Regions from separate parts of the Mus musculus genome. Here all the other regions are reported to be linked to region 4. Evidence: microRNA targets listed by miRTarBase, many of them from high-throughput screens and not tested one by one. Region 4 holds a microRNA gene; each other region holds the end of a gene's coding sequence.
The links. Region 4 holds the annotated microRNA mmu-miR-466p-5p (UAUGUGUGUGUACAUGUACAU, at 1,875-1,895, opposite strand). A microRNA usually pairs through its seed, bases 2 to 8, with sites in the 3' UTR of a target mRNA and lowers its output. Matches are read on the target gene's strand: a 7mer-m8 pairs with bases 2 to 8, a 7mer-A1 pairs with bases 2 to 7 and ends in A, and an 8mer does both.

Region 1 (3,185 bases), not on the chromosome of region 4:
CATACCTTTCATTTGGTACAACTGTGTTTCTATGGGAATCTGGAAAATAGGAGGTATGGAATGTTCTGGGACAATGACATTAGGGCTACTGCTGCCCCTCTCTCCACTGACTAGCACATCGTGGTCTTAACTTTGGAATTTTCAACAGAGCATGTATGTGGGCATCTGGCTTCAGTAAATCCTTTTCAACCAGTTCTTCCAAGGAATTTTCAAATGAGTAAACGTGGTTGTTTCCCTTTCTCTCCTACCTGCTCTTGTTTGATAACACACGCATGCCCACATCCTTTTGAAGAAGCCATTCAAAATATCTGAGTGAGGCCTTTTACACTTATTGTAAGCATGCAAGGAAAGAGGCCCAGGTTTCCTGACTTCATTGTTTTGTAGTAGATTGTAAAAATGAGCTTGACAGCCATAGTATTCAATATGGTTGTATTATGGCCCAGGTCATAGAAATAGGATGACATCATATGAATATTATTGCAAAGAAATTCTACTTTATGCCCCTCACTTCTCTCTTTCCCTTTATGTTAATTTCTATGATTCTTGAATTTAGGTGTCATTAAAAATTTAAAAATCACCAGTGTCTTCTTATCTTTGATGAGCCAACACTTGCTCCTCTAGGTGTCAAAGTGGAAACTTACCACTAATTTATAAGTTTGCAACTAAGCACATGAGAAGAAAACATGCACACACTAGCCTGTCAGCAGCCTCGCCCAAGGGAAGGGTGGATCTTTTACACAACTACCAAAAAGGGAAAATGTCTGCCTCACGAAACTGTTCTGTCCTTCAAACTGGTGCCTTCCTAAGATCCTTGCCGCAAAGACTTCTGGAAGGCAGAGAGATTTCTCTTGGCATTTGGCACAGAGGTTAAGAGTTGTTTTTCTATTATTTCTTCTTCTTCTTCTTCTTCTTCTTCTTCTTCTTCTTCTTCTTCTTCTTCTTCTTCTTCTTCTTCTTCTTCTTCTTCTTCTCCTTCTCCTTCTCCTTCTCCTTCTCCTTCTCCTTCTCCTTCTCCTTCTCCTTCTCCTTCTCCTTCTCCTTCTCCTTCTCCTTCTCCTTCTCCTCCTCCTCCTCTTCCTCCTCCTCCTCCTTTTTTTTTAAGCAGGTTTCCCTGTGTAGCCTTTGCTATCCTAGAACTCACTCTGTAGAACATTCTAGCCTGAAACTCAGAGATCTGCCTACCTCTGCCTCCAGAATGCTGGGATCAAGAGTAGGCACCACCACAACCGGGATTTTTGCATATTATTTCTATATGGTCTTCAGAAAACCTAGAAGAGAGGACAGGATATTCAAGGGTCTCACCCCTCTCTTCAACCGCCATGGCTCATCAATTTTCTGGACCGCTCACCTCTATGATCTGTTTATCTTAAGCATGTCTAGAGACTTATGTAACTTTTAGAATTATAAATCCTCTGAAAAATATGGTTATAAAAAATGGTTTTTCCCCCTCAGTCAGGACTCATGGAAAGGTTACCTAATTGCCTCCTAAAGAGGGGGGAAGGCTTAGTTAAAGTGGAGCAGAGAACAGTGGTTGAAATGTTGGCCTACCTTTTATAGGAAGAGGGGCACTAACAAAGTTTCAAGCCAATTTCGAGTTCAGAATTGGTGGGGGTTCCAGAGAGCCATGGTGGTGTTTTGTGGTGTGAGACAAGTCGTTAAGGGATGGAGGTCACTCAGGTCATGGAATGCCACAGCTAGTCACATCCCTTCTGTAGTAGTAATTGCTCTCAAGCACGCAGAGATGAGCAGAATCATGGGCAAGAATCCCGGCAGTCAGGCCTGCAAAGCTCCCTTAGTGTTGATGTGGTTCAAGAAAACTTGCAAGGGCCTGGATTTCATTTTCTTTACTTTTTCTTTATCCCATGATCGAGTTGTATGGTTTGTAGCTACTTTAACTCATTATCTTCCTGCCTCAGCCTCCTGAATGACCCTGTACCCAATCCCTCAATGTTTTTCAAAGTCAACACACCCTTCTGATATTATTAACAAAAGTGCAATATATATATATATATATACATTTCCTACTGGTACACTGCCCAGACCTGTGATGGGGTCTCCAATCAAGAGCAAAAGTCCCACTTTCTTTTTAGACAAAGGCAAAACTAAGTTTCCTGACATCACTCCTTGGTCACAGCACGCACGCGCCCGCGCGCACACACACACACACACACACACACACACACACATGCGCACACACAAAGGGACTCTAGGTTATCATCCATACAAATGAAAAGCATGATATGAATCCGTGGCATGAAAGTTATTTGCAGTAAAATTATAGTCTGTAGTTTCTGCAATAGCTTAATTGAGAAAAAGGTTGCACCCCCCAAAAAGATTATGAAAGACAAATAAATGATAAGTTACATGCAAGTAGCAGGTGTTTATAGATGAATGATCCTTACAAATATAAGAGCAAGTTTGCCACATATTAACACAGGAAATTGCTCACGGTTTGAATGCATATATGGGCCACTGCCATCAAAGACTTCCTTCAAATAATTATTAGGCAGTATAATCGAAGGCTAATAGACCATTTATCAATGCTGCTTCTTGGCTGCTCTGGAGCCCCTTGGAGCTCCTGTGTGGGGGACATTAGCAGCCACAGTTGGGCTGTGGTGGAGGAGGGGTCTCCTTGAGCCTCGTGCTCTGCTTTGCCGCTGTGATGGCTGGGTCGGTCTCCAAGCTCTCTGACATTTTGTCACAAATGATATCTACGAGGCGCTCGAAGGTTTGCTTCACGTTGATGTTATCCTTGGCGCTGGTTTCAAAAAACTCAAACCCTGCAGGAAACACACAGAAACAGGCCCATCATTTCACGTTTCTGAAGTCCAATGGACTCAGTTGCGGTTTTGAATGTCGATGGGGCAAAGGCAGCGGTGGGAGATGGGTGCGATTTCTTAGACCGGAGATGACTGCTGGACAAGAAGCGCTACCCACTGACCAGAGCAGAGAGTTATAAAGAGGGGTTGATGATACTCATTTTATTTGTCTCTACTGATTCATTCATGATGTCTGCAACGGCAGAGAGATTTTCTGAGAGGAAATCAAGAGTTAACAGTAGTAGTATCATTAGGAACCCTCACCAGCCAGTCCTCTCATCCTGACTCCTTGCTCCCGCCTCTGGTGTGCTCATACATCTTTGTTGACTTGGCTGGATTAAGAGCAAAGCATGGGGCGTGTCTGCG
Region 2 (3,185 bases), not on the chromosome of region 4:
CTCAGCTCCTCCTGCACCATGCCTGCCTGGATGCTGCCATGCTCCCACCTTGATGATAATGGACTGAACCTCTAAACTTGTAAGCCAGCCCCAATTAAATGTTGTCCTTATAAGAGTTGTCTCGGTCATGCTATCTGTTTACAGCAGTAAAACCCTAACTAAGACACCTGTCTAGCTGTCCTTGGGGCATTCCTTCAGGAAGTTCCCTGGCTGTCCACAGAGATAGCATGCCCTCAAGATACCATGCCCGCTCCTTGGACAATGCTCATTAACAGCTTATTAACAAGTCCATATGTTGTGTGTCCTTTTTCCTTTCCCTGTCCTGGTCAAGTTTACAATACACTGAGGTTTTTAGTCTGGAACAACTGGTCTAGGATCTCACTGGCTCAGCCACCAGATTCTGCAAAAGGATTTTTGGTTTTTGCTGATTTTTTTTTTTTAAAGACAGGGTCTCATCATGTGGTTCTGGTTGTCTAGATTTCATTCTGTAGACCAGACTGGCCTCGAACTCACAGAACTGCCTCTGCCTCTGCCTCTGCCTCTCGAGTAGTTGGATTAAAGAAATAACTCTGCAATGGCTTGTACAATTCTCTATGAATATCTGACTGTCAGGGAGTCTCCTTTTGGAGACCTCCAAGAGCTCTGGTATTGCATCAACATGTGTTCCAACAGCCTTCTTTAATCTCTGGAGAAAGGTAATATAAGATTCATTTTCTCCCTGGTAAATGGCCATCAGCTGAGAGTAACTAAGATTTGGTCTTGGCTTTCCTGAAGTCCCCAGAAATACAATAAAGTGCTTCTTCTCCCAGTAACCTATGGTGTCGATGACATTCCTGGATGAAGCTCTTAAAGGGACATCCTGGGCTCCTGTAGGAACTTGGGTCTGTGAGTCTTGGAATAAGAAGCCACCATCTCAGAGAGCTATCCATGTTCCTCTGAGTCCAACCCCTTCTCACTGTGTCCTCCCCCTTCCCCTACCCCCATCTCCTCAGCCTCTGGACGAGATGAGGGCACACCCTTTACACATTCCAGCTCATGAATGTGGGGGCAGTCCAAAGAGACAAAGTGACTGCTGGGGCCCCTCTCCACACTGTAGAACCTTAGCCCTGCCTGGACCATTTGCCTATACTAGCTCTGCAGTTAGGGGTTCATCCCCACCCTTTGGTGGATTTCCCAAAACTCTATGATGTCCCGGTCACTACTGCAGCTCTAAGTGACATAAGAGCCCTTTATTGGGGGTACTGGCACCGTGAACTCTAGGAGAACTCAGATGACATTAAGCTTTGAACACATGTTTACAGCTTATTTGGTTTTCAGAGGGCACTGGGCAGGCAGCAAATGAGTCACCATTTGCTGGGGAACAGGGAGATGGACAGTCCTGGAGCAGCCTGGGCTGGACGATCTTAGAACTGGGACCACCGGTGTGCTTCACCTGTGTGTGGGAGCTGTGGTCCCGACTTGTAGGTGCTTTTGTGTCCTAACAGCTGATGAAGTGGGAAGCATCTTGGTTACTATTTACTTAGCATTAAGCTGAATGTAGCCTGCTGGTTTGAAGGCATCACTTCCACCAAGCCTCAGGGCAATCCTGTAGGGGGTCAGATTGACCTATATCTCAACTGAGGTTCCTCTGGACTGTTAACTGCCTCCGCTCTGGGCGGGATGGGAGCTTTCAGATCCTAAGGCAGAGACGCCCTGGATCCATTCACAGCCAAGTGGGGGAACTTCTTCCTTCGTGGCTTATCTTTGGCGAGGAGACAGTGTCGTGGTTGTGCCCCACGCTGGCTTAGCCAGTGTCTCTAAGCATTTTCATGAACCAAATTTAGGAGCCTGGAGCTTCCATGTGTGTGTGTGTGTGTGTGTGTGTGTGTGTGTGTGTGTGTATGATGTATATATATATGTGTGTGTGTATACGTATATGTGTGTACATATATATACATATACACACATATACACGTGTGTGTACATAAACATATACATATATATATATAGATCTCAGGCTTTATTTGGAAAACCTGGCAACTGTGTTCCAGAGCAAAGCAGCTGAGTTTCCCTTTGGGTGCTTGTCCTCTGCAGGCTGCCACAGTCCCCACCTTTTCCTGTGACCCTAACACTGGAGTGGTTGCCTTCTTTCTCTTTAACATTGTATGTGCACAGGCACATGTACATGTGTGTGTGTGTGTGTGTGTGTGCATACATGTGCAGATATACATGCACACACACATGTGCATACACACACTTGGGGAGGTCAGGGGACAGCTTGCAGACGTTGGTTCTTTCCTTCTGTGTGGGTTTCAGGAACTGCACTTAGGTCATGAGGCTTAGCAGAGAGTGGCTTTACGACCTCGCTGCTGAGCCATGTCACCATCCTTCAGCTGCCTTTCTCATTATGACTGCAGTTGTCTTCCCTGAGATCGTTTTTCCACCCCTCTCTATACTCCCGGGAGACAACTCACTTTGCAGCTCCTGGATTGGCCAAATGTTGGTTCCCAGTCTTCCTGGCCCCTTCCTCGGTTGCTGGAATGCCTATGATGGGTGTCTGCTCTCCAAGCTCTTTGTATCAGCATTGCCTGTGGCGCTCTGAGCACCGTCTTGCTTCTTTTCTGTTGGTGTGTTGAAGAATGGGGTGTGGGACAAGCTATTATGTAAGGGCTTTTCCATCAGCCGATTCTCAAAGGGGCTAAGCCTGGGCCCTGCAGACAAGCTCAAGACTTCAGGGTCCAGCAGGCTCCCCATCCTGGGGGCCCCCAACCTGCCCATTGGTAGCCTCAGAGTGGGTCATATCCCCTGTCATGAACAAAGTCTCCTTGGTGTGACACCGGTTGACTCTCCTGGAGATGGACGGAGTGTGGGTCAGCTCCAGCCTGTCTTCCTCGGTTGGTGTCCCCCAGGGGCAGCACCGGAAAGCAAGCCGGAATCCAGAGCGAAACCTGCCGAGGGTGGAGAGTCACTTTAAGCAAGGGAGATAGGGGTACAGGAGTCGTCGGCTATGTGACTGCTCCACGCCCCAGGAGATTAGCTCCCTTGCAAAGAAGCCTCGCTTAGAAGAGTCTACCAACAACTCAACAACTCGGGGCTGTGTGGAGAGATGCACAATTGAATGGATTTAGTTTCTTGGAGCAGCCAGAAACACCGGGAACATGGCTCATGCGAGTAACATCAGTACTTCCTAGGCATGGGCAAGAAAG
Region 3 (3,185 bases), not on the chromosome of region 4:
TCCTAGGTAAGTACTTAGTTTTGTGCTATCTTTTCTTTCTCATAAGGAGAAAAGGAGGAAGAACTCGGAATAAAAAAGATACTTTTGTCAGATATATGGGAGTTTTCCATCACACGCACGCAGACACCCACACACACCCGCCTTATAGAACGTTTTGACTTTCCCACTTCCCTTACCAGACAGGTATTTTAAAATAATGTCCTCTTGATATCTGCAGCAATCTAGTAAAAAATAACATTTTTTAAAAATGTAAACTATACTACAAGACCAGGATGCTAATCACATTAATATGATCAGTAAATAACTGGGAGACGGGGGCAGCCAAGCTGTGTAAGTAGTGTCAGAGTGGAAAACCACACTGAAGCAACTGGCTTCATGAAAATAAAACAAGAACATCCAAAACAAACAAACAACAACCTCTGGCCCAAATTGCATATTTCAGCAATTGAGGGACATTCACCAATTTCACAAAAATGGGATTTAGGTTCTTGATCAAAATGATGGGCACAGAATTCTTCATAGGGCTCTTAATCTTGACTGAAAGTTCCCTTGTGTAACAACAAATGTTAAGTCCCCAGTGACCGTTACTCTGCAGGCTCAGCTGATGAGTGTGTTAGTTAGAAACCCTTCCACCACCTTAACAAAACCAAGGAGTGGTACTATCTTTGTGCTTAGCAACTGAGAAGTCACCTTAGAAAAAGTCGCCTTCTTTCTGAAATCAGAGATGCCCTGGACTAACAGCATAAAGGCATTGCATTGTTATATCATAGATGCAGAGTCCTACTAAAACTTTTAAACAAAATTTCCCACAGAAACCGGAAGGATTTACTTCATTAAATACGACAGGCAACAGTCATGTATACCGACCAATTCAAAACACTGGAAATGAGCTTCAGTTGAACAGATTTTTAGTACAATTTACATATATATTTTTTATTTTAAGTGGTTGTTGTCAAGCTGGGTAGTGGTGGCCCATGCCTTGAATCCCGGTACTTGGAAGGCAGAGGCAGGTGAATCTCTGTGAGTTCAAGGCCAGCCTGGTCTACAGAGTGAGTTCCAGGATGGTCAGTAACAGTTTCTCTGTTTAACAGAGAAACCCTGTCTCAAGAAAACTAAAACCAAAACAGAATTAAAAAAAAAAAGGTTGTTTTCATAGTCATAGCCTGCAGAACTGCTGTTTCATGGTCTTTCTATACTTTTCTACTTTCATTATAATGAAAAGCATCGACTATATCTGTCTATCCATGTGCATGGCAAACCTTCCACATGATATTTAGTGAAACGGAAGTCCTGCCTTATGCAGGGGTTCTGTGGTAAACTTAACCCTGTTTGACGGTACAAAAGAACCATCAACACTGCTGTTGACACTTCTGTACCTGACTAGTAATAAAAAGGCCACAAGGTAAAAAGGCACATAGGAGTCTATAGAAAACATATTTAAATGAATCAAAGTTGTTAAAGTAAGAAGGATGTGATGAGAAGTGACAAAGTTCCAGTACTGGGGGTTAACAGTTCCTGTTTCAGTGTTAATTAATATTGACCTCAATAGACTCTTGATAACAATTACAAAAAAAAAAACCAAAAACAAAAAAAAACAAAAACAAAAAAAAAACCTTGGTTGGAAACAAAGATGTCCTATTCCCGCTCAAACAATAAATATAAATTAAACAGTAAGAAGACATTTTCTTTTCAGTTCACAGAGCCTGAAGGGAGACATACAAGGTATAAATAAAAACTCACTGTACTTACTCAGATCTTGCTTAGAGACCTGTATTTACATTCGTACCCAAGTTGTGTCAGAGTTTAGTGGCGTCTCAAACTTACTCTGCCACGTTTGACTATTAGCAATCACATTTGGAAACACGTAGAGACTTAAAACCAAGCCTTTCCCCCAAATGCTGAAAACGATGAATGTGTGTATGTACACACACACACACACACACACACACACACACAAGCTACATAATTTGAAAAATATACCCTTATGATAGTCTAGAGTACCATTGTTTCTTAACCATCTCAATGCCCATGGAGTAAAAGTAAACAAACAAACAAACAAACAAAAAACCAACTGCATCGCTTCCAAGAGCCTGGAGCTATTATTTAATCTCCTAAATTAGGTGTATGCATTTTAAATCTGAAATACTGTCACCTTCCATTTCGCCTGTGGAGTTATACTGCTGACTAAATGATAGACGATGGTTAGATGGATGCATTCACTGTTGCCTCGCCCCATCTGTTTCAAAGCGAGCACGATGTGACCAGAGGGGCTTCGGCAGTGCAGGTCCACTCCTGTGTATTTAACTACGCTCTTCATGCAGCCCAAGCCAGATGCGCTTGCTTGCAGAAGTACAGTGTTTTCCTCTAAATGAATAGAAGCTCTCCATCCTCGGGGCTTCGCAAAGAAAAGGATTTGCTCCTGTTAAAGCAGAGAAGGAGGGATGTGGAGTGAATCGGGCTTATAAGTCTTGCATGTCTTCATCCAACTGGACGGTTTGGAGCTTGGCCAGCTCTTTTTTGTCCGTTCCCAGGTCTTCACAGCCGGCTTCAACCATGCCGTCCAGGACGTACTTGGATTTCGAGTCTAACATCATTAAGTTGTTTGTTGCTTTGTTCTCAGAATTTTGTAAGAAATTCTCTTTTATGTTAGGGACTGACTGCAGAACCAAGCGCTGTTCTCTGACAAAATCCTGGTGGACTGCTGTTGAGGCGTGGCTCACCTGCTCTTCAGCTGTGGGTACGATCTCACCCAGGGCAGCCTGGGTCATCGGGCCGGACAATAGGTCTTGCCCCGGAATAAGGGAACAGTTCTGAAGGGTTGCATAGTTAGTGTTGCTGACAGATGACACAGTACATTTGCTTGCCACAGGTGCAGACACGGGCTGGCTCTCGGCAAGGTCAGGGTTGAGCTCAGTGGGATTAAGTAGTGTAGGGGGGGTCAGGGAAAAACCGTGGGCGGCGGACACATTAACCAACGACGAGGTCAGAGGATGGAGGCCACTCCCAGAGAGATTTTCCGAAGACAGGCTTGCATTTACTTGTGCACTGTGATTGACAGGCATCAACTGAGAAAAGACCAGGCCTCTTTCTAAGCCTTCCTGTTTCACAGCTCCTACAGTCTGGCCTGAATTAGGAACGGTGTATACCACTGCACTGGGGGTAAGAGGGCTCAGGAAAAGTTTACC
Region 4 (3,185 bases):
ATACATAGGGGCAATCACATGAATGCCAGGATGACCTCTAACTCATCATGCCTTTACCATGAACTTGCACTCCTGATCTTCCCGACTCTACCAAGGGTTTTCCCGTGGTTTGTGAGACCTCACCCTGGCCCAGTCATACATAACCTCCAAAGCAGTAGGTCACATATCATTCAAATGGATCCGTGAGGGCCATTCCCGCATGTCTGTGTGCATGTGTGTGTAGGTGTGTGTATGTATATGCATAAAATATACACGCATATACATGCGCGCACTTATGCACACAGGCACATACATAGGGGCCATCACATTATTCCAGGATGATCTCTAACTGCTCATGAAGTTAAGCATGAAATTGAACTCCTGATCCTCCTGACAATGCCAATTGTTTACACCTTGTGAGTGAGACCATTCACTGTCCTTCTACTGCATAATCAGTAACATTCTAAGACATATATCATTCAAATGGATCGATGAATGCCATACCTTGGTGTGTGTGTGCTTGCTTTTATACGTGTGTGTGTGTGTGTGTGTGTTATGTATAATCATATACACACATGTACATGCACACAAAATTATGTGTGCATGTACATACCTAGGGTCCATCACACGAATCCAGGATGATCACTAACTGATCATTAAGTTAAGCATGATTCTGAACTCCAAGACTTCTGATTCTGGCAAGCGGTTTTCATCTAGTTGGCGAGATATTTCACTGTACCATAAATATACACTCTATGAAATTCTAAGCACATATAAAACTTATGGATGACTGCCATGTGTTTCTGTATGCATGCATGTGTGAATATGTGTCAATATATGTCTTTTCATATATCCGCATGTACAGACAAACTTATCTATACACATACACAGAAACAATCACATGAATAACAGGCTGATCTGTAACTCATCAGGAAGTTAAACATGAATTTGAACTCTGGGACCTCCTGACGCTGGCAAGAGCATCCACCTCCTAACTGAGACATAGCTCTGGCCCAGCACTGCATAAGCTCTAAAGCTCTGAGTCACATACCATTCCAAAGGATATATGAGTGCCATTCCTGTGTCTGCATGTGTGTATATGCATATTCACATAGAGAAGTGAATATGCACACAACTACACACACATGCACATTTTGGTGTGCATCAATGAAACACATGCTGATCTCTAATGCATCATGAAGTTAAACATAAACTTGAACACCATATTCTCCTGACTCTAGCAAGATTATTCACCTCCTACCTAAGAAATAACTCTGGCCATTCCTATGAATGTGTGTGCATGTGTGCATATGCATATTCATATAGAGAAATGAATATGCACACAACTATACACACATGCACATTCTTGGTGGGCATCACATGAATCCCGTGCTGATTTCCAACTCATCATGAAATTCAGCACAAATTTGAACTCCTGATCCACCTGACTCTGGCAAGGGATTTCACCTGCTGAGTGAGACCTCTCCCTATTCAGTACTGAGGAATCTTAAAACTCTAAGTCACATATCATTCAAATGGACTGAGGAGTGGCATTCATATGTGTGTCTGTGTATGGGTCTACGTGTGTGTAGGTATGTATATTCATGTACACAAATCCACACACAGTTACACACATATACACATACATGGGGGCATCACATGATTCCCAGGCAGATCTCTAAGTCATCATGAAATAAAGCATGAATTTGACCTCCTGACCTCCTGATTTAAACAAGCATTTTTAATATGATGGGTGATAACTCTCCCTGATCTAGTCATACATAATCTCCAAAGCTCACAGTCACATAGATCGATGAGTGAGTGCCATTCCTGTGTGTCTGTGTGCTCATATGTGTCTTATGTGTGCGTGTATGTATATATCATCATATTCACACATGTACATGTACACACACATAAACACATATACACATACATAGGGGCAATCACATGAATGCCAGGATGACCTCTAACTCATCATGCCTTTACCATGAACTTGCACTCCTGATCTTCCCGACTCTACCAAGGGTTTTCCCGTGGTTTGTGAGACCTCACTCTGGCCCAGTCATACATAACCTCCAAAGCAGTAGGTCACATATCATTCAAATGGATCCGTGAGGGCCATTCCCGCATGTCTGTGTGCATGTGTATATAGGTGTGTGTATGTATATGCATAAAATATACACACATATACATGCTCACACTTATGCACACAGGCACATACATAGGGACCATCACATTGCACCACTCTTTCATGAAGTTAAGCATGAAATTAAACACCTGATCCTCTTGACACTGTCAATTTTTTACACCTGTTGAGTGAGACCATTCAGTGTCCTTCTACTTCATAATCAATAAAATTCAATGACATATATCATTCAAATTGATCAATGAGAGTCATACTTATGTGTGTGAGTATTCAAGTCTGTATGTGTGCATGCATGTGTATGTATATGTATAATTATATGCATACATGTACATTCACACAAAGTTACACACACATGCACATACCTAGGGTCCATCACATAAATCCAGTACGATTTCTAACTCATCATGAAGTTAAACATGAATTTGAACTCCAGATCCTCCTGACTCTGGCAAATGGTTTGCATCTGATTAATGAGATGTTTCCTGTCCCATGAATATGCACTCTATAAAACTCTAAGCACATATAAATCAAATGGATGATTGCCATGTGTATTTGTGTACACATGTATGTGTCCATATATGTGTATATATATGCATATACATATACCCACATGTACAAGCACACTTACCTATAGACATATACACGTACACAGAGGCAAAAACATAAATTACAGCCTTATCTATAACTCATCATGAAGTTAAACATTAATTTGAACTTCATATCCTCCTGACTCTGGCAAGAGTATTCACCTCCTAACTGAGGCATAGCTCTGGACCAGTACTGCATAAGCTCTAAATCTCTGAGTCACATAACATTCAAAAAAATATATGAGTGACATTCGTGTATGTGCATGAGTATATATGCATATTCATGTATAAAAGTGAATATGCACACAACTATACTCACATGCACATATTTGGAGGACATCACACGAATCGCATGCTGATCTCTAACTCAATGTGAGTTAAACATGAATTTGAACTCGTCATCCTCCTGACTCTGGCAAGAGTGCTCACCTCCTAACTGAGACATAGCTCTGGCCATTCCTATGAATGTGTGT

Region 1: the mRNA of Rab3c is a reported target of mmu-miR-466p-5p. The part of its 3' UTR that is shown has no 7-base or 8-base seed match.
Region 2: the mRNA of Tacr2 is a reported target of mmu-miR-466p-5p. Seed matches in the 3' UTR shown: 7mer-m8 at 2,165-2,171.
Region 3: miRTarBase lists Six4 as a target of mmu-miR-466p-5p. Seed matches in the 3' UTR shown: 7mer-m8 at 1,912-1,918.

What each region holds. Positions count from the first base shown.
Region 1 is chr13:110,059,223-110,062,407 of GRCm38, forward strand. It overlaps Rab3c (RAB3C, member RAS oncogene family), which reads right to left. Exons shown (of 5, transcript NM_023852.5): 5 at 1-2,780. The coding sequence ends at 2,593. Among named protein-coding and RNA genes, the nearest start is that of Gm32881, 54 kb to the left of the region's middle.
Region 2 is chr10:62,264,793-62,267,977 of GRCm38, reverse strand. It overlaps Tacr2 (tachykinin receptor 2), which reads right to left. Exons shown (of 5, transcript NM_009314.4): 5 at 1,988-2,927. The coding sequence ends at 2,711. Among named protein-coding and RNA genes, the nearest start is that of Tacr2, 14 kb to the right of the region's middle.
Region 3 is chr12:73,100,983-73,104,167 of GRCm38, forward strand. Six4 (sine oculis-related homeobox 4) reads right to left here. Exons shown (of 3, transcript NM_011382.3): 3 at 1-3,185. The coding sequence ends at 2,460. Among named protein-coding and RNA genes, the nearest start is that of Six4, 11 kb to the right of the region's middle.
Region 4 is chr2:10,504,730-10,507,914 of GRCm38, reverse strand. It overlaps Mir466p (microRNA 466p), which reads right to left and starts at 1,909; the gene lies at 1,821-1,909. The region is part of intron 10 of Sfmbt2 (Scm-like with four mbt domains 2); the gene reads right to left. Mir467e (microRNA 467e) reads right to left here and starts at 2,194; the gene lies at 2,108-2,194. Mir467d (microRNA 467d) reads right to left here and starts at 285; the gene lies at 201-285.